Linked DNA regions of Drosophila melanogaster. Changing the gene in region 2 together with the main gene of any one other region gives a genetic interaction. Each region holds a gene or a part of one and is shown on either strand. Other genes may lie near its edges.

What was found.
Region 1: of aux (region 2) and Rab32, changing one enhances a phenotype caused by changing the other (phenotypic enhancement), as found in Drosophila melanogaster (one study listed by BioGRID).

The regions. Positions count from the first base shown.
Region 1 is NT_033778.4:9,174,666-9,191,581, forward strand, and holds Rab32 (Rab32), read right to left. Parts: upstream 6,634-16,916; 5' UTR 6,494-6,633; coding exon 5,084-6,493; intron 4,682-5,083; exon of another isoform or gene 4,561-4,681; coding exon 4,165-4,560; intron 4,085-4,164; coding exon 3,941-4,084; intron 3,880-3,940; coding exon 3,769-3,879; 3' UTR 3,199-3,768; downstream 1-3,198. Other genes in the region: Rme-8 (receptor mediated endocytosis 8), read right to left, coding at 3-210, 266-444, 502-1,006, 1,068-1,269, 1,426-1,570, 1,728-1,868, 1,923-2,114; CG8026 (uncharacterized protein), read right to left, coding at 12,310-12,469, 13,455-13,600, 13,989-14,343, 14,402-14,555, 16,611-16,764.
Region 2 is NT_033777.3:4,204,209-4,221,124, reverse strand, and holds the start of aux (auxilin), read right to left. Parts: upstream 9,343-16,916; 5' UTR 9,313-9,342; intron 9,218-9,312; 5' UTR 9,210-9,217; intron 6,003-9,209; exon of another isoform or gene 5,811-6,002; intron 3,682-5,810; 5' UTR 3,558-3,681; intron 2,879-3,557; 5' UTR 2,811-2,878; intron 2,663-2,810; exon of another isoform or gene 2,176-2,662; coding exon of another isoform or gene 1,429-2,175; exon of another isoform or gene 995-1,428; intron 140-994; exon of another isoform or gene 8-139; 5' UTR 1-7. Other genes in the region: CG31516 (uncharacterized protein), read left to right, coding at 1,429-2,175; CG14636 (uncharacterized protein), read left to right, coding at 15,360-16,529; beta-Man (beta-Mannosidase), read right to left, coding at 16,652-16,912.

The DNA.
Region 1 (16,916 bases), on a different chromosome or scaffold from region 2:
ACCACATGGGTTGTCCACATGTTGAGCAAAGTTTCCAGAAACGATTTTGATGACAGAATGGATGACTTGTTAAGTTGCTCCTGTTTTAAATCATGGTCAGAATTCACAGAATGCATTAGCGAGTTAATCATGTCAATGGCGGAGTATGTCACAGCCAAATCCTTGCGTCTTAAAGCAGCCACCACCTTTGTACCGATAATCTCACGAAAGCTGAAATGTATTCAAACATTAACAATGCTATTAGTACGAAACTAGAATATATTACCCCGGGAGATTCGTAAAGGCTGCGTATCCAACTTTGCTAGCGAGAAGACGAGTAAGAGCGTGAAAGATAGCCTCCAGCTCCAAGTTGCTCAGCTGGGCCGTAGGGCTGTCCAGCTCCTTTTGAGCCAACGCTTGCAGGGCACTCAGGATAAGTTTATCTTTGTTTTCAGCAAACAAGCTCTGTGAAACGAAACATTAGTTAGGTTGAACCGGAATCCGAGCATTAGGTTAACCTACATCCTGAGTTACACTGTAGTTGAGGCCACTGTGAGGCACATTGGCATTAAAGCGCTCCAAGATCTCATACCGCTTAGAGGGGTTTTGAAAATTGTTGATAACCAGGCGCATCAAATTCGCCTCCGTCTCCTCGTCCACCGAGCTGTTCAATGGCACATACCGTTTCCCTCGCGGCGTGTTGCCAATGCGGACGTGCACATCCTGATTGCCACTGGAGCGGACAGCATCCAGAACAGTGGCCAACAATGAGTCGCGGTCGTTGGTGCTGTAGTTGCGCACGATTCCATTCTTGTACTCGATGCTGAAGCGCTGAAGATTGTCCTTGTCTCTAACTAAGGCAAACACATCAGTGAGCGGACGCAGGGTGCAGACGCTGTAGGTTTGAGGATCCCGCTCCAGCAGCGTTACCTCGGTGAGGCAGAGTATACGCTTCACCGGATCCGGATGGCGGGGCGTTATCTTATGAACCGAGAATTCGGTCGACGAGGTTTGAAACTGGTCACCACTGAAATATTATATGGCTTTTTTTTTCTACAAATTCTTTATTGCGTTTCACATGAACTTACCTAAACTTGCCGAACCGCTGCCTCTCGAACTGCTCCAGAGTGATCTGACTCTTGAGTATTTTGGTTTCGATGCCCAGAAACTGAGCCGATCTCTGTGCTATGTTCTGCACGATTTCGTGGTGATTCAGCGCCTTAAACAAATGGAGGCGACTGAATCCGCCGTAGGCCATCACGATTCCTCCCTCATAGTCCGAGATGCCTGCTTAAAACGTGTGCGGAAGAAAGATGAGTGCGGCAAGTAACCAAAAATAAAAAAAAGAACAAAACACGGAGCGATCATATTGAATTGTAATTGAGGCACATGAGGACAAAACAAGACACATTAATTGATGCAAGCGAGTCGAATGTGCATAGCTACCTATTATTCCCTCGATATCCTTGTACATATAGCTGGCCAGCACGTCGTTGGTGGTGGGATCGAGCTGGTCCAGAGAACAGGGCGTGACCTCCAGTACTGTGGGAAGACTGATGCCCGACCAGTGGTATTTGTAAGCACTAAAGCGCTACAAAATTTAGATAGTATTCAAAATTAAAATTTTGACAGATTAGAATTCATATTGCATATTTAAATGTTAATTAGAAACATCTGAATCACACATGAAATGTTGGAGAAGTGTTTCCAAATTAGTATAGGATTTAAAGCGAGACTCAAAAACCAACCTGAGCATTTTTCGGCTTGTCCGCAAACTCTTTGTAGTACTTTAATATAGAGCTTAGGATATCGTTCCGATATTCCGACGATAACTTGATTGTATCTAGTTTCTTATCCTTTTTGATGGTAATCACGAAGTCATGGGGTATCTGAAAGATCAATTTATTTAGTTCCGAGCTCTCCGTAGGATCTTATAAACTCACATTTGTGGTCTTTGAGGGTGCTGCTGCTACGATGTCCGAATAGGACCACCTGTTAGTCAGGTCAAGCTTGTCCGGATTGTAGGTGGATATGCCGGCCGTGCCGATGGAGAGGATGCGCTTATACCTGCCCTTCCAGGAGTGCTTGGTCACCAGGAAGCACTCCAGATCGACGTTTTCCTTAGGCGGCAGCATCGTTTCTTGTGACGATTCCAACTGATTACCTTCCACCCAGTATTAGTCAGCAACTGAAAGTGAGTGAGATATGGAGTGTGGGAACGGGAGTCAAATCAGAGCCGCGGCAATTCATGACTGGTCTTTCGGGCGCGCAGCTGGTTCACGTTCCCAGCGGTTTCCAAATATCCAATTGACTTGCCCCCGACTCCAGGGCACTGATTAATTAAGTCGACTTGGGCACTTATCAGCAGAAGTGCCAACGGAGCCCCAACAAAGACCAGAAAAGGGGAGTAAACGTGACGAGTGCGGAATGCTGCGGCCCCCAGAGCGCGGACCGTTGGATACGGCTCCGCCGAGCTGCAGCCCTGGCGGTGGCTTACCTTAAACATCTAACACATTTTGCCCAATTGTTATATTGTCTTCTATTCCTAATATCTCTCGTTTGCGGAATTTTTGCAATAAACAATTTAGCAGTAACACGGCTACACAACACTAATAAATAGAGGTGCAAGTATCGATGGCAATAGTCTTGCAGCGATTCGATAGTTTGTAAGGTTCTATCGATAGTGGTCCCGTTCAGCAGCAATTGGTAAACGCATATTCACGGTATTCTCGGAGTATTTAAGTTTCAAGCTTAATTCACTTTTGAGTCAGGATGTTTGTTTGTGCCATAAAACATTTTATAAAACCAAATTGCAATTAAACCTGATTCCAGCTTTTTCCCAATTTTTCCCATACCAATTACCAGTTTATACGTTTCGCTTTTCATAACGATTAAATAATTGCTAATAATTTTATGTAGAATATGAACGCACGACACTTTTATCTGTATATCATTATTTTTAAGTTTAATATGTGATCACTAAACAATAAGGAATACCATAGTTGATAACTATCGATAGTTTGAATATTAAAAAAAAAGAAAAACATTGCCGGTTGGGGATACGATTTTTTACCGTTAAAAAAGGAAATGTAAAAACAAAGCTTTTATTCGTATTTATTTACAAAGACCAGTGATTCAATGAAGGCAAATACTAGTAGCATAACATTTTCATTGTATCACAAAAGCACTTACACAGAATTTATTCAGCCAATAAAACACGTCGTCTGAACTTAACTACCATTAAAAACTTTATTTCTGATTTCGCATTGCATTAAGCGTACGTATTGTTATCTAAATACAAATAATGATGGCAGAGTGTGTTTGCATACGAGAATAATAATTCCAAGATAAAACAATCTCGCCAGCAGAGGCAAATAAAACAAACAAAACAATAAGACGATTCGCATTTTACACAAATGTAGTATGCTATGATACGGATGCTGCACTACCTCCGGCTAATCCTCGCAACTAGGGCAATGATGGTGATAGTAATAATGTTTCGTATGCGTAGGTATGTTATGTGTCACCATATAAATTCTCAAAGTGACACGGATCCCGATGCCGGCGCAACATTGTGGACCCACAGACGGGGTGTTAAAGATAAAGACGGACGGGATGATACGGATGACACTAAGTCTTAGACAAATGTTACGTTAAAACCCTAAGCATAGTTATCGCTATCTTCTAACAACATGAACATGGAGTGGACGTAGGCACATGGCGTTTCTGTGTTGAAACTCGCTCTTAAACTGGGAATGGGAATAGGAGTCGCCGGACCTCGGTCCCAGGTCAGCAGGAACACTTGTTCTTGGCATCCGATCCGGTTGCATCGGCCGCGCTCAAGTTGAACTTGTCGCCATCGGCCAGATCGGCAGATATCAGCTTATCGTTGATGAGTATCTGTCGGGCGAGTGGAAGAAGATTAGCGGGGCTTTGGCTGGGCATTAGCAGCGATTATCACCTTATTCACGAGGGCACGAGCTGCCTCATCGATGTTGATATTCTCCTTGGCGGATGTCTCAAACCAACCGGCAAATCCGTTCTCCCTCACATACTCATCCATCTTCTCGGGCTGCGTTATGATGCCCTGCTTTTCCTGGTCGCACTGGAAAACGGATGAGCAACGTATTAATCACATAATATAGAAATTATGCGGTCTCCTTTAACCTTTAGGCAATCACTTACTTTATTGGCCAGCAGGATGCACGGAATGGGACTGCCGTCCGGCAGCTGCACCTTGGAGTCTAGATCTTCCTTCCACTTGCTCACGCAATCGAAAGTCCCACTGCGAGTCACATCAAAAACGATGAACGCGCCCACCGCCTCCTTGTAGTAGACACGGGTCATGTTGCCAAACCTCTCCTGACCGGCGATATCCCACAGCTGGAGGCGCACTATCGTATTGGCGTCCCACTGCAGCACTTTCAGGGCGAAGTCCACGCCGATGGTGGCCCTGTAGTTCTGGCTGAAGAACTGGTGCACATAGCGCTTAATGAAGGACGTCTTGCCGGTGCCCAGTTCACCAATGACTAGAATCTTGTACAGATGCTCGCGCTTATCGCTGGTGGATGTCATGATGGCCTGCAAGCAAGGATTGGATGAGAGTTACTTGTATGTTCGATCCATGCTTAATAGAATAGTTTGATAAATTTGATACACTAAACAATGAAATCCCACTTGTGACTTGAAATCTCAAGATAAAGAGATACATACTTTTGGGCTCTGGGTTTCAAGATACAAATATAAATAATCCGTGCATTTCGAATTATAATAAGTAGTAAAGTTTGTTCTATCATAGCACGTTTACACTCAGTTATATAAAAGCATATCAATATATAATATAGGAAGTGAGAATTCACCACTTTAATAAATTCTAAGCCTGGTATTAGTTACACCTTCTGCTGCTCGTCAATCCGCACTGAGATTTGCTGGTTAGTTGACGAGACCCCCTGGGCTATTACCACCGCCCGCCGCCCGCACAGTTGAATGACACTCTGGAACACACACTATAAGGGGGCCAACATATCACTTGTGGGGCTTCTTCGCTTCTTCGTAGGTAAATGACAACTGGCGAATTGGCAATCCGACGACGACGAGACCTTACCGGTTCCATTTCCTGATCCATGGTCAGGTCACCGAAGGCCGGCATGGGCTTGGCGTTCTCTGGCTCTGTGGTATCCGCCTGCTCCTCGCTATCGTCCTCGGATCCGGAGTCCTGGTTGGAGTATTCACTAGCCACCGACTGATAGTGCAGTGTTTCCCGCCTGCCCTCGATGCTGTCGTGGTCGCCGAGGATGAGCTGCTGCTGAGCGAAGCTGAGACGCCGGATGCTGGAGTCGCTGAGCTCTTCGTTGGAGTTGGGCTGTTGACTGGCGGCGGCGGCCAATGCGGCTTCGTAGGCACTCAAGGGACTCCTGACTGCACTGCCCACTTCAAAGCGGACAACGGGCGGGGGATTAGCAATAGTCTGGGCGCTTTCCGCCGAGGAGACTCCGTCCTCAGCCGCCGGAGGGGATGTGGATGGGTCCAGGGATTGCTGCCCTGATGGCTGGGGTTCCGTGTTCGCTAGTTCAGCCAGTGGTCTGGCGTTGAGGCGGTGGCCGCGCTGCTGCTGCTGCTGCATCAATTCCAGCTTCCTGCTGGATGCGCTCGAGGATTGGGACTTGCGAACAGCTCCGGTGCCGCTGGCTGACTGAACGCGACTTGGTTTTGCTGGCGCCCGTTCTCTGGGCGGCGTATCGCGCGTGCTCTCGGTGGTGGTGATAAGCGGCGACGGCGACGCCGATGGGGACTCTCTCTCGGGGCTCTGGGGCTTCTTCTTCGACACCAGCAGCTTGGTGGTGCGGGTGCTGCTGCTCGTATCTCTCGTGGTCACGGTGGTGGTAGTGGTTTTCTTTCTCGGTTTCCTTTCTTCTGCGGCGGGTGTCAGATAATCCGTGTCGCTCTTGGGTCTGCTCTTGCCGCTCTTCTTGGCGGGCGATGGCTCCACCTTCTTGCCACTGATGGTGATCTGCAGCGTGCTGCTGCCGGCGGAGGTGGGCGAACCGGGTGGCGATGGCAGGGGTGTTGTTTCCAGGTGCTCCACGCTGATGTCGTCGCTGGTCGCCAAGCTGTGGGGCCGCCCCTTCGGCGTTTTCCCACTTTTTCTCAGGCCTCCAAGAAGCAGGCGGCGCGTCAGGCTCTTTTTCTTGGTCTTGCCGAGGGCTCCACTGTCCGTGGAGATGGAGCTGGCCACGTCTTCGAGCTCGCCTGGGGTTTCCTGAGCCTCTTCCTCCGCGCTGCGTGTTTCCCTGTCGGTGCTTTTATCCAGCTCCCTTTCCCTTTTGGTTTTGGTCTTCGAGAGGCTTCGCAGAGCCGCAGTGAATCGGGAACGGCCCTTGATCTTCGCGGTGGCCTCCTCAGACTCGTCTTTCGGATCCCCGTCCCCCTCCTGGCGGTCACCCTTTTCCTCCGATTGCTCCGATTCCGCTCTCTTTGTAGCTGCTTTTCCCCGCTGCTCGTCCACGTTGGGCATATTTTCAACTGACGCTGTTGATCCCTAGCGATTCTACACAGATTCCATTTGCTCCAGCTTGATTTCCAGTCCTGATCCTGCACGATCCTCGAGCTTTTTTTTTTTAAGCAACCGTTGCCCAGACTAAACGAACGCGCACTAAAATCCCCAGTGCCGACGACTAGGCTTTTATAAATTTTGTATTCGCCCCGTTGGTCCCGCCCCCGCACCATCCCCTTTTGTGGTGAGAGGTTTAGCATTACAGTTACGAAAATCGCTATAGCTGGCCAGGTGCTTACCAACACTGGTTGCCGCCTCCAAATCGCTTGCGAAATGAGCGTGAGAAGAGCCGGTGGGCCTTTGAATGGGCCGATTGGACGGCTGGCACCCGCTTATCAAGCAATCCCCGGACAAAGATTGGCCAGTGTCCGGTGGCCCGCCATAATCGACGCCAGTTGTCCGGCTGGTTAGCCCTGCTCCGGAATCACTGGGCTCTATAATTTGGATCGAGGTAATGCATAATGCCATGATGCCGTGATGCTACGATGACGAGCACCCAATCATCCGGCACAACCAGTGGAGCAGGGCGCCCAGTGTCCATATCTGGACCTGACCTCTCCAAGCAACCCAGAACGTGCTCCGCCGCACTTGGCGGGCTTCCTTTAAGCTGAGGATTTGCCGCATCAACTTGTCCCAAAAGAGTCGCTCGGCATTAAGTGGGCGACACATCAATCTGGCGGATTGGCCGCTGTCTTGGCCGACTGTCGACTTACTGCTCGACGTGACTATATAGAATTACGCTTATTACAAAACGTGGTTAGCCGCAGTGCATCGAGCAGAGCGACAGGGAAGGAGATATGTGGCCCATATACGATTACCCAAGTAATAACCCGAAACGCAAACGGGATGGCACACATATGTATGTATGTATGTATGGATAGATCGTATCTTACAGATGTACGGAAGTTGCTTCAGATCTGACTTAATTAGATATTACAGTTCCTTATACAGGCACTTTGCTGCGGTTGCGATATCATTGAGCAGTGGGGTAGTTATCAATACTTTTAAAAATGTATAGTATTATTACCAAACACCCTTTTGAACTTATAGTTTGACTATAAATTAAATTAAAGAATAATTTATTGGTAAAAACAATATTTGCCTATATTTGATTAGCTTTATGCTTATCACTAGGGTTAGTAACCATTTCAGATTCCTTTAAAACAACCCATTTGCAATATTGCTAGATTACTACTTATCCATCCTGTTTTCTGAAAGCCGTTTTCTTTTGGAGCACTACATCATTGAAAGTGATTGTTCTTTGATGACTTATATTTTCCTATAAACTAATAGCTATTGGTTATTTAGACCAGGCATTAATCAATGCGATTGCACAGTAAAGTAAAGCGTTCTAAATGTAATTCACCATAAAGAGCGCTGTCTGTAGCCTAACCGATTTGCACATTCTGAAATCGGGGACAAGTCAACAGTCGAATCAGCTTACATAATTCATGGGAGATTACAGCAAACACATTTTCTCAAGCCTTAAAAATTCCAGTTACGGAGCAGAGGGCTTTTAAACCATAATGTGCCTTGGAAACCGAAAGCATTAGAAATTCACTTTCGCATAAATGTCGAACGTGGAAGAGTTCCTTTGTGCCCGCAGATGTTTACACGCAATCCAGCCGGAAAACAGAAAACAGAAGAGCTATGCGAAGCATTCGGCCTCCATCTGAAAGTCAGGCGCCTGCAAGTGCCCCCTGACGACCCCATTCCGAACAAAAGCCACACGGATGCCCCGATGTGGCGAAGTCCTGCACGGACTTCTTTTCCGTAAATCGGATACCGAATGGCAGTGGCTAGGAGCCCCCCACCCGCATCGGCCAGCAATCACGTGCAAGTGAGCTCAACAAGAGGAAGTGAGCACGTGAATGAGTTCCTGGAATGGAAACTACTGGGATTGCATGTATCACGGCAGGCGTAAAATCAAGCGAATCTAAAGACACCTGTCTTTTTAGATAGCTTGGGAAAGTACTATTATGGCTAAGCCCATTTTCAGTCGTTTAATCCGAAGGTTTCTAACTGAACCCCAAAAGTATGCAATAAAATCTGATATGTAAGTGTAAAAAGTAGAATAACAAGTTGACGGCGGTGTTAGTTATTGCAAATATTTGTCAATTTGATAAGGAATACTATGCTATTAAAACCAAAATTATTTTGATTACTAAAAGTCCATGATTTAAGTAATTGTTGAAGTACGACATTTACGTATAAATAATATGAATTTTATTTAATGAAAGTTAGTTCAGTGCGATGTACTTTAACTGTCAAAGTTCAAAGCATTCGTTTAAATATAATACCTCAAAATATCGCAGGTTGATAAACATGGAGACTGCGTGCACAAAGATAGTTGGCATTGGAATTTTAAGATTGGCAACCTGGATTGCGTGATACGATACTGCGGCGGCAGAGCGATACTCTTACAGTTACCATAGTAAATATGTACATGCATGTACATATGTACATATGCTTATCAGTTTGCCCGGGCAATTGTCATGTAAATTAATCAGTCGGCCACAAACGTAAAGACACACAAACAACACTGCGGAGTGAAGTGGAGTGCATTGCCTTGGCCAGCGATGCGCCGAGGGAGTTGGAGCTCGATTACATAAGGAGGATGCTCTGCGAGTGGCGTACAGCGATCCCTCAATGGACTCTGCACACGCTGCTTTGCGTATTATCGGTGGGTGGCATGGAGTGTAGTGCCAGCTCATATCTTATCACGCAATGGAGTCGCCCATAAAAGGGGGAGGAAGAGGAGGCGAGAGGGCCCTGATTAGATAGTGGCCGAAATGCAATAAGACCTTGTGATTCATCGAGCGAGCTACATGCATGTGCGATGTGTAAATGGGAAATGCTGGAAATGCCAGGCAGTAATTAAAGAGCCCACACTTTCCTAGCTTGCTTCCATAATTGACCTTCAAACGTGACTTTGCCTATGTCTGATGAACCGAATCCGTAGCCTACCTCCTTCCAATCCGCATTATAGTTTCTCAACAGTAGCGGATATCTATAGCCGGCTAACCCGGCAATCACTTAAGTAGCTCAACACACCCACATGGTTCCGTCCCCGAATCCGACCCTTCTATGTGGAATGTGTAGTATGACCATATCCGTAGCCCCGCTTCACATTGTTTTGATTTTATCGTCTGGCTTGTAACTGAGCTGGGTATCCAATGAAAAAGCAATTGTAATTTCATTACCATTTAATTGGTAAAATTGGCATTGGGAAAATGGCAATCGGTCGATTGAAGATTAGAAGCAAACTAATTCTGAAAGGGAAATTCATTTTGTAGTGTGGGTGGAAAAACGTAATAAAATGGGTACACTGATAAAAAAAAGCTTCGATTTTTATCTATAGTATAGATAGTATTAAAATATAAATGTTAATTTATGGACTTTTGAACTTGCCTTAAATTTGATTCATATTTATTTCAATAGGGAAATTAGAATGTTCGTGGAAAAATCCTTAGATGAAATTAAATTAAAATGTAATTATTTGTATCAGTGCATTGTGATATTCCCCATTGCGATATTCCACATTCCGTGCATTATTCACGCTCCGTAATCCCATCTGGTGGGTTTCCGCAAAGTTCTCTGAGCAACTAAAACGGCTAATGAGTACAAGCTGGTTGTGTTAACGGCCTGACGAGGCGAAATAGCGAAAGCCATTGCAACACTTGGCCAACTTATTTTTGGGCATTTCCCACACTTGCAAAAAAAAGAGTATATATTTTTTTTTGAAAAGTCATCATTTAACGCCAATTTAAAATCGCATGAAAGTTGGTGTGCTATGACTATTTGCTAATGCTTCACTATTTAAGATTTCCTTTTTCAAATTAAAAATAATAACCAGTAATTACCAAGTACATATGAATGTAGGTGCATTCTGATCCCTAACATATGGGTTCACGCCCTTTTAATTGTTTAAAGTATGTCCCTCCTCCCCACATTACATTTTGGCACGTGCCGGCTGTAGGCAAACACTTTCCATTGCGGGTTATGGTGGAGGTACTTACTCCGTTGTGCAGGTATCCGTTGTTCCTGTTGATGTCCATGTGGTTACGGTTGACTCCCGCGGGCATGACCGTGGTCAGTTGCAGCGCCTCTATGGCGCCGAGATCCAACTCCGGCTTGGGCTCGGCGTAGGCCGGAGAAGCACTTCGCAGCGAGAACTGGGAGGAGCTGAGCGGCGGATGCAGCTGGGTCTCCGCGGACGGGAAACAGATCTGGCGGCGCACGAAGATGGGCGACTCCTTGGCGCTGAGGGCGCCCAGTGAACCGGAGCCTGAGCTCACGGGTCGGTGTCTGTGCTCCACGGGCAGGTGACCGGACTGGGTGTTCGGATGCTGAAGATCCGTGGCCAGGTACTGGCAGCGCAGGCAGGCGCAGGTGAGTTCCGAGAGCTGATCGGCCGACTTGGATTTGGGCAGGGCCTTGACCAATCCGGCGGACTCCTGTTCCAGGCAGTCGCAGATATTCTGGCGTCCGGCGGAGGTGGAGACAACGCTACTCTGGATGACGCCGGTTGCCATGCAACCACCGATACGGGGTGGGTGAGTGTGATCTTTAGACCTTCTCCGCAGTTATCTAACGCCCCCGCCCAGTCAAGGTCGTTCACACGCGCTCTAGTGGCCCTCTCCAGGCACAGACGTATAACTCTCGCTCTTCGGAACGCGGATCCCGAGCAACATGTGGTTCTGGTCTAACGGTAAACAATGGCTAGACTGTTCTTGAACTTATCAGAAGAATATGTAGGTATTTATTTGCGAGTTTCACAGCTATATATTTGCGGTGTTATCTCAATCGATCGGTTTGTTGAACTCGACCGTTGCACTTTTTTGGACAATTTCATGCACTCGAATCGCTGGAAACTGGTTTCAAATGCAAATGGAACAGTTCGGTGGTAGCCACTTACTTTGGATCTTAGTGTCATAGGGCTTAAACGGTCGTTTGCAACTTATATTGTTTGCTCTTGCTGATAATTATACGAATCGTAAATTAAATTCACACACGTTCGATTTCCAGGCACGCAATACTACGCAAGACAACAACAACACGAGCCAAGACGGCGCAAAACAACAACAACAGTGATTCCGAGCCTCGAGACGTCCGACCTCCAGTAATTTCAGTTTATAACTGAACCGAAAACAAAAGGAAAACTTTGTCGCACGAACAAATCCGAAAGCGAGAGCTTTGCGAAAAGCTCTACGTAGAAAACCGTTAAACGGACTCCGAGTCGGACTAGATTGAAATCCGCATCGTTTGGCGGTAAATCGATTTTTAAGTTAGAGCGGCGTTAATTCAAATATAAAAATATATACTACTCCTAGAGGGATACCACTGTGGTTGCTTTTTGCAAAGCTTACACGATCTATAAAGATGCCAGATGGTATAATTTTCCAGATAGTTTATTTTTTTTATTATTATTCATTTAAACAAGGATATCACACCCAGAAAAAGGCATTCTTTGGCTCACAAAGATTTGGTTTATTTGCAAGAGTGAGGCTATGGACTTATATTTCACAGGTATATTGTAACACTTTCGTCTGAATTCAATCACAAATCCATTCTGATCCACACTTAGGAACAACAATCACTTTACTTACTACGAAAAGACCAAATAAGTCTTCGCAACAACTAACTAAACTTAAACTAAAAGCAGCTGCGCATGCTCAGCACGATTGCAACTGCCCGCTGACTATAGAGACATATGGAAATGTCGTGAGGTGATATATGTATCTTAGAAGCCTAAAAGGAATCCAACCAAAGGAAAATCACACGTCCGACGCATCCTCTTTAGTCTCAATTCGCTTCCGCCTGGCGAGCAGGAAATGCGAGACGTTCTCGTACACCAGAAAGGTGACCATGCAGGCAGGCACTACTCGGGTTAAACTCGCCTTCAGCCCCTTGTAGAAGCCTCTGTAGCCCTCAAACCTGCAAAGAGAACCAAACACAATGCGGTTAGAGACTGAGAACTGAAAGCTACATCTACTTACAGTAAGGGCGCATTGGCTGTTTCAGATTAGCAAAGAGATTCTGCACAATTAAGGGGGTGATCGAAGACTTAGGGAGCGGAAGGAGCAAGGACTACTTACTCAAGCTGCCATGAGCCCTTGGACAAATGAAAAGACGCAGGCTGGACGCGCTGACAGTGTTTGCTTTAGTTTGTTTCTTGGTTTTCATTTAGGTCTGCCATCGTGGCCTTTTAATATGGGTAAGTAATTTCGCATTTCTTATCTTTTCTTTGATTTCAATAAGATTGTTCCACTGTAGGACTAAGTTGGTTTCACAATGCGTTTATGCTTATTTACATAAATGTCAAGGTTTATCCTTAAAATTATAAACCATTTTCAAAAACTATGAAGAATCTTTTTGCCAAAACGAAATTTTGTATCAACTAAACAGTAACTGGTTTTTCTTTGTGCTTACACAATTCCAAGCCGTTATAGAATAAATAATTTAACTAAACTAAGAACTAAATATGTGTTTGTTTTGATGAAGAGTGCAAGAAATGCGTTTTTGAAATTACATTTCATGGGCAGGGGCTATTTTGACGACGCCCCGATCACATCAGTTACTTTCGAAGTTGGGAGTGAAGGATGTACAATAAACTAGATATGGAATACACTTAAGGCTAAAGTAAGGTGCTAGGGCTAAACCGAAATCGAGTTACAACAATAATACAGAATAAGTTTGTCATTTTCTGCTGTTAGCTGCACATCGGAGGAAACGAGAAAGATTCGTGTATTCTAGGTGCTTAGCTTAAATTCTCTGTCAGATTCCAGATTCGATGATCTAGTACTAATACTCCATCTAGCTGGTCAGCTTCTCCCAGATCAGCATGACCATGCAGATGTTGGGCGTGACGTGGACCAGGTAGGGCACCAGGCCCTTATAGAAACCTCGCATGCGCTCGTACCTCCAAGTCTGTTTGATGCAGTCCCAGGTGCCGTTGTATCGGTGATGGTGGTCCTGCAGCCGTGCCCGGACCACCTGGTACGGGTAGGTGGCCGCCGCTGCGATCAGCTTGGAGACAGCCGCGAAGGCCAAGTACTCGGTGGTGGCCTGTGGGTGAGGGAGCACACATTAGTGAGGCGAACAGAATGAGCTGAATGGCTGCCAAATGGCGGAGACGTCATCACAACCAGATATATTCGGATACAGATACAGATGTGGTCACACAAAATATAACAAAGCGAACAAATATTTTTCTGATTAAGAAAGTCTTCTAACGAAAAAAGTAATTGAAAAAAAAGTACTCGATAGATTTTCAATTTTTGAACGTTACGCATTAAACTTAAAGACTTCAAAGTATTTTGTTATTTGTATAAGTAATAATTTTGTGCTATTAAGTTAACCGCATCTGTTCACCCAATTTAGTATATAGGCGATGTCAACGCCACGCGCAGCTTGGTCATGTGATGGGTTGGTCATTTGTGATCTGCCTACTCACCAGCTTCGTGTCGATGGGCAGTTTGCGATATTCGTTGTAGGCGTTCTTCAGCTCCTCGTAGGTCATGAACTGGATGGCTCCGTGGGAGACGCCCAACATGCCGGGAACAAAGCCGCGGTACAGGCCACGGATTCCCTCCTCCTTGTATATCTGGCCCAAGGCGTGGATCATGCCCCTGTACTCGGCACTACTCGCGGCATCGCACTGCAGGCAGAGACGCGTCTTCACCACCCAGATGGGGTTGGTCAGCAGCAGGGTGAGAATTCCCGACTCAGCAGCTGCAAGCATGTTCATTGTGGGGCCCAATGGCATGGTCGTGTTTCCTCCTTGGATAAATGTCTTAATGGTGTTGTAGCTGAAGGGAGTATTTACATTTAGGTTTGTTACCATTATCAGTAGAGCAAAGTACTTACAACATGAAGTACAGGCCCCAAGAGGAGCCCGATCCCCAGACATTGGGGGTGACGCCTTTGTAGAGTCCGCGGAAGCCCTCTTGCCGGAAAATCGTGGTGAAGGCGCTGCTCAGTCCCCGGTATTGCGGCACCGTAGCTGTCCGGCCATCGTTAACTGCAAGTGGAGAAGGAATCACGCTCGTAAATGATAAACATGTCTAGACATTGCAGCCTTGGGTCTGGCACGATTATGATTATGGATACTGTCACTGAAGGGCCGGCGAATGCGTCATATTGTGTGTATTGCTCTTCACCTAGGCAACTGTACGTCTACGGGAATATCAGTTGTTGACTCCGAAACCAACAAGTCCAGGCCCGTGGCCAAAGTTGTTTTCGCCAAAAGCAGATAGATAGCATTAATTGCCAGCGGATGCGATAAGCTGGGAGCGTCGAAATCAGCCACTCTACTTGTTTTCGCGCCCATTAGCAGATACTTAGCTATTTATATGGGACGACATATTCTATATGAGCTGGGCAATCATAAGATCTGGCCTGACAACAGTACCAGGCAGAAGAAAGGGGCTCGTCTTCGCTTCTAGACTATTTATAGCATCCTCATGGGTGACCTTGAAAGGAGACTGGACAGCCCAAGAGGCAAGTTCTTTTGGGGTATTTACGACTAAGCAACCACATTGGTTTTGGCCAGCGTAAAGAGTTTTTCGACATGCACTCGATAAAGTCGCAGCGATAAGGTCGCAGAGTGCTGAATCAGTCGACTTCCCGCATGGCAACAGTTGGAACTCGTTTTTAGCCACTGGAACTGGCGCTTGTGCCACATAAACCGGACAGTTGCCGCTGAAAGTTGCCGTTAACAAAGCCATTGCAATGTACAGTCGAGTCAAGTGGTCACGTGATTAAAAACGAGCAAGAGCAGAAAATCAAAAGCAAGATAAACGGGTTTCGTTTGGCCAAAATGCGTCATCGCCATAAAGGCCTTGCGCAAGTCAATAGAAAACAGCTGTTGCCAAATCGAGAAGCCACCGGATTCAAGGAGGTTCATTGCGGCGAAACCACTAGCTCTGGATTTTCTAACCATCCCAACTTGGGTTCGCTTTATCAGTTCACAAAACTCGCATGGTGTGACTTTAATTCGCATAAACAACTCGTGTGCTGGTTGTTATTGTTTACAAGCCACTTTTCTGGTGAATTTACATATTCACTTACTGCGTTAACGATTTTTAGCACTGATCCGGGCAAACTGGACGGCAACAATATTTAATAATCAAGAAACCCGCTCTCGGTTCGTTGTTGTTGTTTTGGTATCCCGAAGCAGACTATACGGAAATGTTGTTCATGTATTTTGCGCATGAAACGCAAACGAGGCCAAACATATGATTCAGATTGACTACAAAGAAGTAGTTTTCAGCAAATAGTCATAAACACAATGGCCTGCGTAAGCTGATGGCTCATATTATAGCCATTAATATCAAAGGTTGATAGCTTGTATCGATCTTTGGCCAGGCGGCATAAAAGTAAAAGCAAGTAAACAATTCGAACTGCTGTTGCCCCACGTTTCCTGTCTGCAAAATCCAGATTAGACCAATTTGAGATTCCACACACAATTGTCAACACAACCATAAATTTCATCTTTCTATCGCATTGAGGAAAAACTATGTTTTCACGTGCCCGTGGCCCCATTCATCAGCATTGTTTATGTGCGAAAGCATGCACGTCACTACTTGACTACACGGGCTTCTCAAATTTTCCATGGTGCACAAAAAAAAAAATCAAGTGCGAATTCTCGGATACCCGAGTAGCGTCTCAAACTTTCCATGGAAAATTTGTAAAGCATTGCGCAAACAAAACGCGAGCGGCGAGTAAAGTGCAACAATAATCTGCAGCCAGACTGGCGGCATTTCCCCGCACGTGCCGAGTGCTCTTTACTACACAGCAATATACGTAGTGCTAGTTCCTATGGTGACATATACGTTTTTCTCTATCAGTTGACAATTTTCTTTTAATAGGTATAGTTTTTGTATTCTATTTTAAGCCCAGATTAATCAGAAAGGTGCCTATATTACAGAGCCATATTGCGAAACACAATACTTAAATTAGAGCACTGGCATTTTGGATTATTCAACAAATATATTTCCCTATAAGATGTTATATTAGTGTACTACTGCTTGCTCACGGAAATCGTGGAATTCCCCGAGGCGTGTGGATGACTCACCTGCGAATCGAATCTTGATCAAATCCAGGGGATGTAGAATGAGTGTGGACACCACTCCGCCGGATACTCCGGCAACCAAATGCTCGTACTTGACGTGTGCGAATACGTTGAATTTCTTGGGACTGCCCGTTGACTGTGCCTTGATCGGATTCATATTGTGCAATCTCTGGTGATTTCTTTTGCGCTCGTTCTGTATTATTGTTGCTATCGCAGGCTTATTGGCTGCCCCGGTTGAAACTCACTTTTGCTACAGTGAATTGTACTAAAACTACGTGCTATTTACACTCTTTGGCTTTTCGGCTGCTT
Region 2 (16,916 bases):
TAGAAGGCTGTAATCGACAAGTGATACACCTAAAATATCTGGCGCCCGTTAACTGAACTAAAACATTTTCGTAGCGCCGTGGCCACAAAAAAATAAAAAGAATCCAGGGCTGCGGAGGAGCAGGTTCCTCAGCAGGGTGGAGCGGAATCAGTTTGCTCCGATAGCTTGATCGCGCAGGCCTGGCTCACCATCGATATGTGGCGCTGTGCTCTTATCGATATTTGACGCTGGGCTCTTATCGATGTGGCGCGCGGATAACTAGATTATGAATTTCGACTAAATTTAGAGTGCTTTTAAGCAAACATTTTGTATGTTGACTCTTCAAAATTCAGACGTTTAATCCTGGCTTTAAGATTGCACCTGAGGTGATTGTATTATATTTAAAATGCGTGCAGTGCCAACGCCCTTGCGAGGTTTTAAGAGATCACAGTTTTTGTACGAGCAGTCATGTCAAGATATATGCTCTAAAGAGTTCCTTCCGCTAGTTCATACTCTTCAACAAGTACCCATTTAGCTTGATACGGTTAAAAGAGCGCACACAACCACATTTATCAGAGGTCTAGAGGTATTGCATTTTTGACTGGGGCTGTGACAGCTTTGAAAGAAAATAAAATGTAATTGAAAGGTTAAACACTTTTTTCGAAAAGTCATTCCCCTTTGAGTCGCCTGAGTAAATTCCCGCATTTAGCTGTGCATCAAGCGTGCATGTGTCTTTGAGCCAATTCAAGGTCCAGCTCTGAAGTTTGAGTTTCCTATGTACATTGTGCCAGGTAGAGTTGGCTGATTGAAGTCAACAGCTAAGGGGAAACCCAGGGGACAACCGCTGCAACAGCTGGCCGTCGGAATGAAGAAATGGAGTATGACTAGTAAGCCTTTGGGGCACCTCCCCTCCGTGGAACAGCAACAAGTTGGTAACGGCAGTATATTTACACATCTGTCTTTGGATAATTGAGAGCTGTGTTGCGCTACGCTTGGGCCGCTGGCGAATACGGATAGTTACAGATGACCGATATGGCCGTAAGTTTGCGCAAACCGAGCTCCGCTTATTTTGGACATTGAAGTTAAGCTTGCAATTTGCTGTGTGCACCTGGCCAGTTTCACGTAACGCGTGGAGATTTGTCGAATGCAAAATACACAACCTTATCAGTGTACTAATTACCACCGCCCTACTCCCACGTTGTATCGATGCCCCCGATCTAGCATTGACACAATTTTCAGGGAGCCGCATTCGGCCAAAGCCGTTTAATGTAAGACAATAAAAATAAACATTTTCCGCGCCATTTGGTGCGCCTGCAAAGCGGTCGGGGTCGTGGAAAACCCCTCTGTAGGCAAACAGCGGGAGCATTCTGTTTGCACAACTGCAGCCGAGAGCACGCTATAGAAAAAACCCCGAGACCCCTGGATCTGGACTTTGAAACTATAGCCACCATGTGCCGGCGACTAAGAAATATCCCCGGACTGATCTGCCTGCTGACGACGGTCGTCGTGCCCTGTCGGACGGAGTTCTACGCTCTAGACGCGCTGGGGCGGGATCCGAGTCCCGCTGATTTTCCGGGTGCAGTGCCACGACTGGTTATCTACAACCCCTTTAGTGGCCAACAGCTGGAGCCGCTGCGGTACTCGGCTGTTTCGCGGGGCAGACGGCAGCCCGTGAACGGTAACATCGTAGAGCTACCCCAGCTCTGGCAGCCCTGCTCCTGCGTCGAGTTCTCTTGCCGGTGCTGCCTTGGCCTGGCTCTGGGACTCGGCGAATCAGCCAACCAGCGGTTGTGCGCCGCCCTCGACTACACCCGGGCGGATCTAGGTCTGCGCCTCAGCGTCGAGATAAACCAGCGCAAGGTGGCAACCTTCGGGTTCTCGACTCGAAATCCGCCCGAATACTGCGTGCCGCTGCCGCTCTCCAGCTGCCTCAGACTCTACGACATCCGTGCGTTCGGCGAGGGCAACATGCAGATATGTCTGTCGGTGGTCTTTAAAGTTCTGGCCAGCCAGTTCTTCGAGTACCGCTTCAGCTGCCTGCGCTTTGGCGCCAGAGGAGTATTCTTCGTTCGCGACGCACTGCAGGATCAGGGGCAGGATCAGGAAGCACTGGAGGTGGGGTCTAGGTCCGATGCGTGGCAGTATACGCCAAAGAAGCTGGCTGACAGGAGCATCTTCAGTTTCTACGGCAGATAATATTGGTCTTTCCTCTCACGCTTCAAGTTGTCATGTTCCGTGGATGCCTCGCAATGTTACATGTTTAATGAAAAAGTGAAATTTACGTTAATTAAAAAGCCTTTAACTCTAAGACCCCGCCCAGCAGCACAGACGCCATGAATATGGCGAAAATTGGCAGTAAACTGTGGCCTCCCTTGGTCTGGTACGGGCGATGATGCGACTGCTTGGATCTTATCCCACTTACGAATGTACCAACGGCTGTAATCGTTCTTCAAACCACTTTTTTTTAACGATAGCGCACACAGCAATTACTTCTCTGTTTACTTAAGATTCAAATATGTAGTGAGAGGCGCCGGCCCTTGAACCTATTAGGCTGCGAATGATTATGAAGTGACCAAGGGTCTCATATTATAAATAATATATTAGTTCCCCCACATATGACTGTTGTTATTTGATGTTATTTGAGTTTTAAAAATATATTAAATGAAATAAATTTTAGTGCACCATAGAACCATGACCATAAACTGGCCTCATAAGACTAAGATCTTAAACAAACAATTACGATTGTTAAAAATATGTTTAATATATATGACTATATTCTTTATTCTCTTGCTGAGGGTATATTAAATCATTTAAAGTATATATGTACATACATTCGTGTCTGCCCATCCGGATGTTGCAAACTTTCCAAAAGCCTTCTTCTTCCTTAGTACAAGTATATCTGTAAGCGGGAAAGAGCAGATTCTACAATCGTATGGCTACCAGTTAAATATATTTAAATGTAGACATAATTCTAACATTTATTAATCTTACTTTATTGTCATTTGGAGGGTTTTAAAACAAAGCCAATACGTATATTTTAAATATTTTCGCACTGTTGTTATTTGAACCACAAGGAATAGTTGGCACGGTGCATTCAAGCAGAATGTAACAAAAAGAGTATATTTTTAGTTTTTCAAAATTATTAAAAAATGTTCACTTTTACTTTCTGCAGTTTCAATCAGCATGGAAATATTGCAGTGCACTCCACTATCGGTGCTATTCGTCACTACGCGTACCAAAACTTACAAATCTAAATGTTAATGTTTCTTGGTAAAAATGTTGTACTTAATAATTGAATATTTAAGCTCACGGAAACGCACCACGAACCGATTCAAATTAAATATATAAATATATTTATATATTTATATATATAATATATGTATATATATATATATATATATATATATATATATATATACATATCCTAAGTTAAACGCATGTTTAGTTCCATACAACTTTGCTTCATATTTATTTATTAATTGACGATCGAAAATAAGTTGATATGCAAGAACATTTCATATTTAATGATACATCAATTTAATATTCAAATGATTATACATACTTAACAAAATACATACTTAATCAACATAAGGCGAAATTTTCTTGGTCATTAGAATAGGCGCACTTTGTCTTTTTAATTTTTATAAGTAAAGTATTAGATCCACTTAAGTTAAATTATGAGTTGGCATTACTATTTCACTTCTTTTAAATAAAAAAGTAATTTTAGTAATGAGTACTGTTAGTAATAACTATATAAATCCGGTCCTTTATAGCCTGGTACAAGACATCTAGGATGGAAATTTCAAGGAAATTTCGCTCAAAGCATATTAAATAGCTCTGCTAATGTTTTCTTATATTCGTATTGCTTTTCTCCTGTGTATACCTTCTAATGTTAGCCAGCCCGAAAAAACTTTTTCAGTTACGTTAAGATCTGGAGAATATGGTGGCCAGGTCATGATATTAACGTTTTGACTCGAAATAATGAATACGAGCATTGCCTTGTGGAAAAATCCAAGGAATTTGTCGAAAGAGATCTTTAAATTTTGGAAATACGGACTCCAGCAATGTTTTGAAGCGATCGCCATTCATCTTTCGGTCGATAAAAATCAAGTCAATTGTTTCATAAAGCACCGCACGTCATTATTCCTCTTCTCCGTTATGATGGCGACTTAAATATAGCTAATCTTTCCGCAAATCGTGATAATAATATTAAAAGCCATCAGGGCCATCTAAATAAAAAAGTTTTTCATCAGTAAAGACAACTGAACGCCAATCATTTAGTCGAGTGTCAGATTGGAATATATATATTTTTCGCGAATTGAAGCCGCTTTCCTTGCGTGATGCATTCAAAGGGGCTTTTTCTTGATTTTTAGACGCTTCAGGTGTTCTGCATTTCTGATCGCGCCTTTACTCCGACCAATTCCTTGATCTTAGCAGCAGAGTTAGTCGAATTCGAATCAATTCTAGCAAATTGGCGCACTGATTGTTTTGAAAGTGGCTTTTTCCCCGCTTTTTCAGTCCGTTATTTATCTTTTCAACACAGTAAACACGTATTAAAAGATTTACGTATGTAAATGACAAAAATAAATTCTTTGAAAATCTACATACATATGTATGAATTCAGCCTCATTTGTAAACTTTTTTCGAATTTCTGAGTTGGAATAAGTTTTGCTCTTTAATACCAAAAAGTGCACTCAACCTTCTCTTCGAGCCACACATTTATTTTATTCAGTATTACTGAAGTCATATGTATGTATTTATTTATTTACTTAACAATTTATAATGGTTAGTATAATAGGCGCACAACCATAGCGATACTTTTGGTTATTTGTCATTACCTTTTTTTTATTCTCTCGTAAGCATTAGAATTATTTTTTAATTTTGGAAACTATATTCTATTTGGTAGTCATTAAATATTCTACTCGTTTTTTATAGAAATCAATGTTCCCCCACATCCCTCCACCCAATGGATAAAGGAAGCCAGTGTTTGGCTGAAATTCCGAGGAATTAGCGGTAGACAGTGAAGATGTTTCCTTTGAGTGACAAGCTAGATACAGCCGCTTGCCCAAAAATAAGAAACAAGATTGAACAAACGCAAAAAAATTATAAAACAGCTCCGAAGCCGCACGCCGTCGCACTGTGGGACTCCGTTTGAAAACTCCCAGAAACTTAGTTATTCTAGATAAGAGAAGCAGTGAAATAAAATGTATGCTGCATCGCTCGCACCAAAGACCCTAGAATATTCTAGTGTCTTTGCTCGCACTAGTATATGAGGAGGTATCGGAAGCCTAGTCGGCCTAATCGGCCTTATTGGCCTAATCGGCACAATCCTATCAAGCAACAGCGCTTGTACCACTGTGCACCGATCGCTGCTGCTGATGTTGGAGCTGCTGGCAGCGACGCAATTGCGCAATTGCTTGCTCATTTCGGCTGCCTCTTTTTTGGCGTGCTTTGGCTTTGTTTACCGACTCAGTCGCAGTTAATGTTGCTGATACCGAGAGCAATTTCGCCTTGGTTTGGCTCGGAGATGGAGATGGTTTTAGCCTCGGCTTTGGCGGCTCTGGGCCCGATTGGGCAGCATGGAGGACGGTTGGGGGGCGGTTGGGGGAAGCCACAGACGGGCTCGGGCGGTACCGGGCGGGATCCGTAGCTCCACTTTGCCGTATGTCTGGCTTTCTGGCTTTCTGGCTGAGTATCGCTGGCAGCGCTCGGTCTGCTGCTGCCTGCGCCATCGGCCTCTAAACATACATGTGTATACATAATAATTTTACTTTTTCTGCCGTTTTCCAGCTCGCTGCTTTTTTACTTGCAAGCAAAACTTTTCAACCACCGTCAGTTGTATTTCGGTTCGCGCTGCGATCTGTCGCGCTTTCAAATCACCTCCGCTGGCGAGAAACTAAACGTTGAGTCCCACCATCAGAACCACATCCTGTTCGGCGGAAGACGAGGCAGAGCGTTGCCCACCCCTGAAAGTCCTATCGAGCTTCTGGTTAAAGAAATGTGAGTGTCTCTGGCGTAACACGGTGCGTATGCGCACTATCTGCCATTTGATGTTCATCAATCAAGCTGGTACAATAACAGTACCTGGCCACCGCAACTTTGAGCTTTTGATACGACTCTTAAGTAATTCCCGGGTAACCATTGCCGAGCCGGCTGGTTTGAGGGTCTTCAGTGTCAGACTTTTAGTACGACCTACCGCAACGAAACCTGTTCAGTCTGGAAGCCCTAGAAGATCCGCTCTCGGGACAGCGCACTCCAGACGATGACACATTTCACATTTCACACTTCAGCTCGTGCGTTGGCCCCCAAAGAGACCAGATCGGCCCACCAACCTGTGACTCCACTGGCAGTCGAAAGGAAACAGAGTTTCACTTTCAATTGCGACACCCAGGGCCAAGTAGGTAGGTGGGAGCGGTGCCAGAAGGGAGGCGAGTGGGAGGGGGTTGGTGGGCGCAGGGAAGCGACTAACACGAGTAATGTTAATTAAAAGACAAAAACATAATTTAACGCTGGGCATCGCGGCGGCGAGCTATCTTGGAAGTTACGATCTCGGCATTTCTCATCTCATTGCGCATCGTCCGCCACGAAAATACGAATGTGTGGATAAGTAAAGAGCTCGTTTTGGGCCCTCCACCTTGGGTGGGAAATGTTAATCATAAAAAGTAAAAGTAAAATATTACGGGTCGAGTCAGCACTAGCTTCGTTAGCCGCCCCTCGCATTTGCATTTCGCACATGGCAGTGGCGACAGCCACTGCACCAGCTGGCAGGCACAGAAAACGTCGTCGTCGTCGATTACAATCGATTGCCTACGCGGGCTACACGGGAAAAAATCTGAGTTAGGGGGAGCACCAAGTAGCTGTGCTGATGTGTAATATCTGTACCGGTCGAGCCCTGGCCACGTCCAAATCCCTCTGGGACGTGTAAATTGAAGTATGAGCTGAGCCCCGAAAGAATCATATTCATTCTCGCAGTGTACTTGTGCCACCGACCCCTTTGATTTGGGTTCAACCTCTCCAGCTGGAGGCGTGAGCGATTGCAGGCGTGGCCGCCATTTAAATTCAGTCTTTGTTGTATGCCCGCCTCACAATATCCGACGCGTTGCAGAGCAAACTCGACTTGATTGACACCTGACAGGGGCCCCAAGAAGTTAATGGAAGCCCAATTGAGCCTCCCCCTCTTTAGGTCACAGAGAGAGCTGGTTTCGCCGGGGCAGCTATTCTAAGCAACGTGGCTGTAAGCCCGTGATTAAGTGGATTCCGAATGCAAAAGACATCGCTCTCTGCATGACTCGAATCGAATCAAGGGAAACTATAAGTGCAGACTGCATTTCAAATTTCATCACTCGTCCCCAAGCCGCTGTTATGCGACGCTTATGACCGCAACAGTGGGCTACGCTCGAGATGAATGTCTTGGCTTCCGCCTCTTACTCATCGCTACAATCTTCAGATGGCGTTAGTGACGTAATTCTTAGCGGTAAGCAGTGACCCAAAAGACGGACCGCTGTCCAAATTTAACTGCAGTGTCAACTCTGTCAAAGTCTCCCGACCGGAGAGGACGGAACGGCTGAAAAGAGTCCTGAAAGTCCGTACAGTTCAAGTTCGGAACTAGTTTTAACGCTCTTAGGGTAACTTTGTCGAATCGGTATGCGATCGAGATTGTCAATGAGCATGGTCTATTAGGTGGTATAATTATCTTGTTTGCCTAGTGTGTTCTCAGAATTATTTAAAATGGTTCTCCGAAAAACTATTGAAATACTAATGAAAGTAAAGCTTGCCTACCTATTGTAAAAGTAAGCTCTTCGAAACAAATTCTGTTTTGTCCAAATGGGAGTACATTTTATTCGATTTCTTTAAAAATTATAAACCTCCGAATGAATGTTTCATTTTCATTTGAAGTGTCAGCTATTAGCACAATTAGTAATTATTTCTATGTGCATGACAAATTTGAACAAAGGGCGATAATAACGTTTAGTCTTGCGAAGTTAATTTTCAATTTAAGGAAGTACCTTGGCCAGCATGACATCTCGTCTCGGGAACAATTAACACAATTGTCTTGCCAGATTCTGTCGATATTCCGAAATATTTTAAGACTACCTATTGCATTTAGTAGCACAGTTTTGCAATCATTAAATAAAAATAAATCGGTTAATACTAATCAATTTTATCATGGAAAAATTGGCAACTATGTTTTGGAAACAAAGAAAAACACTAAAGAATTTACAGGTATTTGCTGTGCCCTTGTCCCGATTTCTAGCAATAAATCGATTTGCTGACCGCGTAATCTTTAGGAATAGGGTTCATGGCCACCTGCAAGCAAGCCAAGTCATAGGAAGAAGCGATAGCGTGGATTTAGGCAGGAGTATTGGAGAAGAGGCGCAAAGCGATGTAGTTGGCCGAGTCGAGTTGAAAGTGAAAGTTTTGCCGAGCAGAGCGCAGCGATTTGCGTCGACGAGCAATGCTCGGTTAGCCACCCAGAGCTCCATTGTCAGCGGCAATAGTAGCGGCGGACGTGAACTTTAGCGGCCGCGTTTGAGTTGAAAACGCAATTTACAATTTTCCTAATTGTTTCTTTCAGCTTTTTGTCGGCCAATTTTCCTTTATTAGTTACTTATTGGATTGTCGTTAGCGTGACCGAGGCGTATGCGTAATATCTTTGCCAACGCCCGATGAGAAAATCGAATTGCCGGTAATCGTCGCATTGACCGCTCACAGAAAGCGTTACCCAGCAGAATAGAAAGACAGAAAGATCTCTAGACGAATCTTTATCATCTTATTTTTCATCTCTCATTTGTGGTTCATTTAATGCAAATTATGGTATCGATTACTTCTGTTTTGAATGTTGAACTTTCCAGTTTCATTCGACCAGAAGATGAATGATCTTAGGTAGAGCACGTTGTTACTCAGGAAATGCGGCTTTCGACGTTTCAGCATCGTTTCCGTCAAAGTAAAAACTGTAGCGTGCAAACGAAAGTTTCAATTTATTTGGTGTTTCGCTTTCTGAGCCCAACGCACCCAGCACATCACGCAAAAGCAGCCAAACTGCAGAGGAGCAGCCATACCTGGCCTGTAAATAATTTATTTGAGAACACGCGGGAAATCTGTTAAGCCAGCATTCCTTATTTATTGGATATTGATTGCAATAGCACTGAAGCGGGTAATCGTCATTATTTTAACAGCTATTCTTAACTTTTGTTTTCCACTTTTGTTGATTATCGCCTAATTTCTAATACCAAGTCAGCTAAGTTGCGGAAGAAACCAGTTTAATTAATTTTTAATAAATTTATTAAAACCATTATTATTATATTATTATTATTATCGTCAGAAATTTGATACCAGAAATTTATAAATACTGGAAGCTTGCGGCACAAACAAAAAGCAATGGATGGCAGAGACTGGTTATATCGAAAAAAACACATCGAAAGGGATGGTAAAATCTTTTTTTAGTACCTTATGAACGGGCTGTTGAAATTATTTTGAAGTGTGTTATAAGAAAAAATACAATTTTAGCCGCCGTTTACAGAAGTTAATATTCTAATACAATTTCACGTGTCTCTTTTATTTTGATCTGTCCTTTAGCTTGGTTCAACAGCGACTGACTGCCGCGCTCTCTGCAGAGTGGCGAGTCGATTAGTCGATAAGTTTCTCGATAATATTTGTATGTTAAGGATGGGTGTATGAGTGTATAAGCTTATGACTAGATTGGCTATGTATAATTAGGTATGTATGACTAAGAGTAAAGGAAGAGGGTAGAAGGAGCAGCCTACTACAACTCGGCCGTCCTGACAACTAGATCTCCCGATCGTAGGATTTTATAACAATTAACGTTTCTTAAAGCTAAGGGTCCTGTTTCTTATTTTATTCTTCTTAGTGGAGATACTTTTGAACGGTCTTAAACATTTTTTTGGTTTTCTTTTCTTCTTGTTTGTTTTCTTTGTTTTACAATTGCTTCTTAAATTATACTTTCTATTTCGTACAGAGTTTCTTAAATTATACTTTCTATTTTGTACAGAGTTTCTCAAATTATACTTTCTATTTTGTACAGAGTTTCTCAAATTATACTTTCTATTTTGTAGACTCTTAATTTTTCTTTGCCAGTGTTTTATATTCTGTATGCTCCATACACCCCGGTAAGGATTGCGAGAAATTTGAAATCCATCAACATCTTCCAGAAGGAAGCGATCATTTTTGAGAACTTTGCTTATGACATAGGGTCCTTTATGCTTTGGAATTAACTTCTTAGCTATGCCTGTTGTTGAGTCAAAATTTTTAACCATGACGTAGTCGCCTTTTGTGAACACTCCTGATCGTTTTCGTTTTTTGTCAACATATTCTTTATTGTATGCTTGTGCTATTTTCTGACTTGCCTCGCCTTTATTTCTAATACTTTCTAAATCTCTTTCTTCAATCGTTTCTCCAATTTCCTCAATTTTTTCTTTTAACTCATCCATAATTTGTCCTTTTTGTTGTAACCCAAATAACATTATGCTAGGATACTGTTTAATGCTGCGGTGTAGTGTATTGTTCAGGGTATATTCGACCTTTTCTAAGACTAAGTCCCAGTGTAGACCTTGATCAGGTTCAATTAACTTGCTAATCATTGGACCAAGACTTCGGTTTATACGTTCAACTTGACCGTTGGCTTGTGGCGATCCTGTTGCAATTTTTATGTGTTTAACATTGCATTCTTTCAAAAATGAGTCAAAATCGCCAGACGTGAAACATGCTCCTCTATCTGATATGATACACTTAGGCCTACTGTATGCTCTGAAGTAGTCATTTAACGATTGTATGACTTCTTTTGTGTTCGTAGTTTTTGTTGCGTATAGTCTGACAAACTTTGTGAATGCATCTACTATCACTAGAATATGTTTCTTCGGTCTAGCCAAGTCTACTGGACCATAATGGTCAATATGGATTATTTCAAAAGGTTTGTTTCCCTTAGGTATGTTGTGTAGAAATCCTTCTGTTTTTCCTGTTTTGGGACTGAATGAAATACATTTTAAACAGTTGCTGATATGTGTGCTACACTTCTGTTTTAAATTTGGAAACCAATAGTTTTTCATTATAGCTTCTATCATTTTGTCTCTTCCTACGTGTCCAAGTTCGTTGTGATATTTGTATAACACTTGTTCTTCCATTTCTATCGGAACGTAGAACAGCAATCTATTTTCATTTGTCTTTTTGTAAACTATACCATTTCTCATCTCATACAATTTATTTTCTGTGTTTTCTAACAATTGCCTGATTTCTTTTAATTTTGTATCTTTCCCTTGACATATAACTAGATTATCTTCGAAACTGTTTGTTTGTATTACCATAATATTTGTACACCTACTCAGTGCGTCAACATGTTGCATGCGGCTACCTGCCCTATGCACAATTTCAAAATCATAACCTTGGAATTCTAAAGCCCACCTGGCTATCCTAGGGTTTAGCTCTTTTTTGCTTAGGGTCAAAATTAATGAGTTGCAGTCGGTGACTATTTTAAATGTCCTCCAATGAAGATAAACTCTAAATCTACGTAACGAATAAACAATGGCTAAAGTTTCTAACTCGAAACTGTGGTATTTTGATTCAATATCTGTTGTCCGTTTTGAAAAGAATGAAACTGGGTGCCATTTCTGGTCCTCCTTCTTTTGCATAAGTACAGCACCGAATCCAGAAGAACTTGCATCACAATGCAATTCTGTTTCGTGTTTATGGTTGTATATAGCTAAGACCGGTGACTGTATTAATTTATCTTTTAACATATTAAAACAAATCATTTCTTCACTACCAAATTTGAACGGTTTATCTTTTTTTAGAATGTCATGCAATGGTTTAGCTAGTCTAGAAAAATCTTTTATAAACCGTCGAAAATATGAGCATAATCCCAAAAAACTTTGTACTGTATGAGCATTATTAGGTATTGGGAAATTTTTTATTGCCTCGATTCCTTTGTCATTGGGCATTATGCCGTCTTTATTTATTATGAACCCAAGATATTTTATACTCGATTGCATAAACTCACATTTGTCTATTCTTAATTCAAGTTTATTTTCAACTAATCTTTTAAAAATTTCTTTCAACGTTTCTAAGTGTTCGTTTATATTTTCGGTTGCCAATAGAATGTCGTCCATATATACTACTACTTTGTTTTCTCTAATCATATCAGCAAAAATTTTGTTAACAAATCTTTGGAACACAGACGGGGCGTTTTTGAGGCCAAATGGCATTCGCAGCCACTCGTATTGGCCTAATGGTGTAACGAAAGAGGTGTATTTTATTGATTCTTTTTTAACATGCACGTGGAAAAAACCGTTTTTAAGATCGAGTTTGGTGAAAACAGTTTTCTCATTCATTCTATCTAACAAGTCATCTATAAGAGGTAGAGGATAGTTGTCTTTCATTGTCATTTTATTAAGTTTTCTAAAGTCGACGCACATACGTAAGTCTCCAGTTTTCTTTTTCACTAAAACAATAGGCGATGCATATTCCGAGTCGCTTGGTCGTATAAATCCGTTTTCCAAATATTCGTCTAATAGTTTTTGTAACCTGTCTTTTTCTGTGTATGAAAGCCTCCTAGGAGAACAGCTAAACGGTTTCGGGTTTTTCAAACACAATTGTATTTCACTTCTAACTGTCGGTTCATTTGGCCTTTTTGCATTTATATAAAAATTTCTAAACAACCTATCGAATTCTAGTTGTAACCTATTGCTAACATTTTCTCCTATTTTGTATTCTAACTCACTTTCAGTTACATGACATATTCTTAGTACTTCCTTATCAAAGTTGTGATTTAATTGTTCGTAAACGTTTTTATCTTTTGGCAATTTAAAACTAACGATTTCTTTTGAAGTGTTAACAATTTCATCTTCTGATAATTTTGATTTACTGACATTCTTTTGTTGATTAACTATTTCATCTCTTAACGATATTGGACCAGTTTCTTTATGCTGTTGATTAACGATTTTATTTTCTAACGATTTCGGACTAATAGTTGTATTTTTAAACGATTTTGGACTAACAATTTCATTCTCTAACGATTTGGGGCTAACAATTTCATTTTCTAACGATTGTGAACTAACAATTTCATTCTCTAACGATTTTGGACTAACAATTTCATTTTCTAAAGATTTCTCAGGACTATCATTTTCAGTAAACATTGATATTTTGTTTATTTCCATGGGTTTTCTCAACGCAATCATTCCCAAGGTGTACGGGTCTAAATTTAAATTGCATGCAGTTAAAAAATCTCTGCCGAGAATAACATTATACCTCATAGACTGGTCGCAAACAATGATTAAACGAAAATATATTTTTATTGATCCTTTCAATACATAACATGTGGTTTGTCCATGTGTTTTGAGAATACAGTTGTTTAAACCAAAATAGCAAGTATTAACTAGGGCTAACTTCATTGTCTCGTTAATAAGTGACTTTTTAATGATAGATATAGGACTGCCAGAGTCTATGAGGCATTCTGAAATTATGGGCTTATAAGCATTTTCAAAAAAATTAATTTTAAACCATCTTACATAATTATTAGATGAAACGCTCTTCCTTGTGGGACATTGTGCCACCAGGTGTCCAAGTTGTCCACAGGCGTAGCACGAACCTGGTTCACGTTTGGGCTTCTTGCAGATGTCAGCTTTGTGTCCTCTTGAATTACAGTTTGCGCATCGTATGGCATCTTTGTAGTCGGTTGGCTGTACAGGTGGCTCCCTCCGAGCTGGCAAACGGATGTTCGAAAATGCGCGTAGCATCTCCGATGGAGTAGAGAAGCATTGAATCCGTGCTTGGGTACGGAAATTTTGTAGCGGTATGCCCTCTATCATCTGGTCCAGTAGTTCGTCGTCGTCGATGTTTATCCCGTTTGAGAGAGCCATCTTCTCGTCGTAATAACTGCAGAAATTCTCCTCGGTTTTCCACTTGCGACTCTCGAATTTTCGCCGGATCTCAGCCTTGGATGATTGCTCGCCAAAAGTCAATGACAATTGATCAAGCAAATTGTCAATTGGTTCGATCAATCGAGCAGGGTGCGCATGTAACCAGACTTGCGCGTTTCCTTTAAGTTTAGTGATGAGTAAGATGCGTAAATGGTTGTCATCGATGTTGAAAGTGCGTGCGATATTTTTGACCACTGTTATCCAGGCACGCGCGCAAGTTTTCCCATCGTAATCGGTTATCGTCTCTTTGGCGAGAGCGAGAGCATCAACTGGAAAACGCTGGCTCTCCGCTCTCTCGTTGGATCGCTGCGGCGAGTGAAATGTTGTGTTCTCTTTTGTGGCGCCAGCCTGCGTAAACTGCGCCGTCTGGATAACGGAACTAACTGTAGCCTTGCTTTGCTCTGGTTGTTGTTGTTCTTGGAACTGCAAGCTCGATCGTGTTCCGTTAAGCATTGCCTTCGCTTCTGCTAGCTCTGCGCGTAGTTGCTGTAGCTCGAACATGTTTGTCTCCCTCTCACTGCCAGTTTCGGTTGATTCTTTTCTGTTCATCGCATTCACACTTACGTGATCGGTGTTAATTTCACAATTCTGAAAATCCAGTGAAGAAAAAATGTCGTTTCCTGGTGGAGCGTTTTTCTGGGGGTGCTCCGGTGGACAATCGCCCCGAACTGCCGTTGGGATGTCTTGCAGCCTCGCGATTAATTCGGTTTTTGTGCCCTCCGTATTTTGGCCCAGAATACGTAGCCAATCTTTTAGGGTTGTCAGCGAAAAGTCGTTCAGGATGATTTTATCGTCCATTTTGGATTATTAATCCCACTTCTGAGATTTTAGCCGCCGTTTACAGAAGTTAATATTCTAATACAATTTCACGTGTCTCTTTTATTTTGATCTGTCCTTTAGCTTGGTTCAACAGCGACTGACTGCCGCGCTCTCTGCAGAGTGGCGAGTCGATTAGTCGATAAGTTTCTCGATAATATTTGTATGTTAAGGATGGGTGTATGAGTGTATAAGCTTATGACTAGATTGGCTATGTATAATTAGGTATGTATGACTAAGAGTAAAGGAAGAGGGTAGAAGGAGCAGCCTACTACACAATAGTGCAATCATATTGGACCGTTCTCTTCAGCGGCTAAATAGTTCAATTTTCAAAATGTTAATTTTTCCAATTTCCCCTGAGTTTATGACAACAATTTGATGCTAATGTTACGGCTATATGTTTATATCAGGGGGTTATTGCCTCGCACACCACACCCTGCATGCTCATCGTTACTATATGGAATGCAACCCTCAGAGATTTTGGCAAAATAAGAAATTCGATTTTAATGTCCATCATACGTATCTTTCAAACACCCAACAAGTTATACAATTTTTTTGCATACATAATCATCAAGCCAAATTTTTAACCAAATCACTAATCGCGCTATCTTTGCAGCGTCCGCCACTATATTGAGGATGGCAAAGCCACGCTGCTCGGGATGGCAATCCTTTATTGTTCTTATGGTCTGCTTGCCAAGCTGTATATCCTTATCGCGCATAGACGAAGGCCCGAGCGTAACCGGAAAGCCAGCCCTAGTTCGGACGGAATTGCGCTTTGGACGGAACCTTGACCCCTCTAAGGTGCGAGTGATAAACTTCAAGTCCAGCACGGGCGATGATGTAGAAATCCTGGTCGGGAAAAACAGTCGCAAGGCCCGCGCCGAGGATGCGGCAGGGTCCTTTTTCGTGCGAAGCGCGGATGTCAAGCGGCGCCTCGTACCGCCCACAGGCAGGGTAAACGCTAGTGGTCGCCAGATCACCTTTCAGCACAGCCCTGCATTACTAAAGCAGAGTGAACTGGCTCAGGAGATGGGCGCTTATCACCAGCGCAAGGCAGAGGCGGAGCAGCGCCAAGCTAAACTTATCCAGCTGCAGCTGTCCAAGGCGCAGAACAAGATGATAGAGCACCAGGCAGTGCAGGGGGACTTCCGCCGTGGTCGCCAGATCGCTGTTGACGTGTCCTGGGAAAACTACCGCCCTCAGCTTCCAACCCAGACACCAAAAATTTTCCGCAAGAACATTTCGTTGGCAGCAGATCGCCATTGGCCACCATTCGACATGGACGATTCGGTGGAGATCCTGCCACGATTGCAGCGATTGTCGCATCGACCTGTGCTCTCCTCTTCCAGGGACACGGAGTTCGCCGCTTCCGACATACAGGAGTACTTAGCGGGCGAAAGGGATACTAGGGCCTATATCAGCAGTGTGTCCAATCAGGGACACCGTCCCCACAACCTCATAACCAAGCACAACTACAACTCGCTACCGCAAAAGTCTAAATACGTGACCTACTTGCCACACTCTGTAGTAGTGACGGCCAGTGCGGGCGTTGCCACGTCCACGACCGCAATCCCGCGCCGTCAAACTGGCGGCCACGGGAGTCCACACCACAACCCTATCGGCCACGGCATCCAAAGTGTTGTAGAAGGCCCCGCTGTAACGCTAATCGAGGGTGTACGAGTTCCGGACAGCGCGGAGGACAAGGTGAAGACCTGGCGCAATGCTCGCGTCCTGAACAATCAGTTGGTGCCATATCCAGAGGGTTACACGCCGCCAAGGGCACAGATGCCCAGTTTCGACCGATAGGTGTGGAGTTGATCAGAACCACTGGTGTTTGGTGCTCAACACTAATTGCTATTTATTGAATTGTATATTGTTAAGCTATTTATAAAACGTTGATTTAAAGTTGTCAATGAAGACGTTCCGTACTATCTCATAAAGTCGTTGACGGTCAGCACACGGAGGTCCGACTTGCGCAAAAGGCGGGCGCACAAGGGTGCGTCGAACGTTAGGTAGACGACATGCATTGGCTCAGTCTGCATAAATCCGTTCTCGGACAGGGTGTAGCGGTATGGCTTGAGCAGCTCTAGGTATACAAATACGGCGGGGCGCTTCACCTGTATGCTAATGCTGACGCTGTTGCGGACGACGTTTGTGGTGTTAAGACAGGTACGGGAGGCAATCTCGAACTGC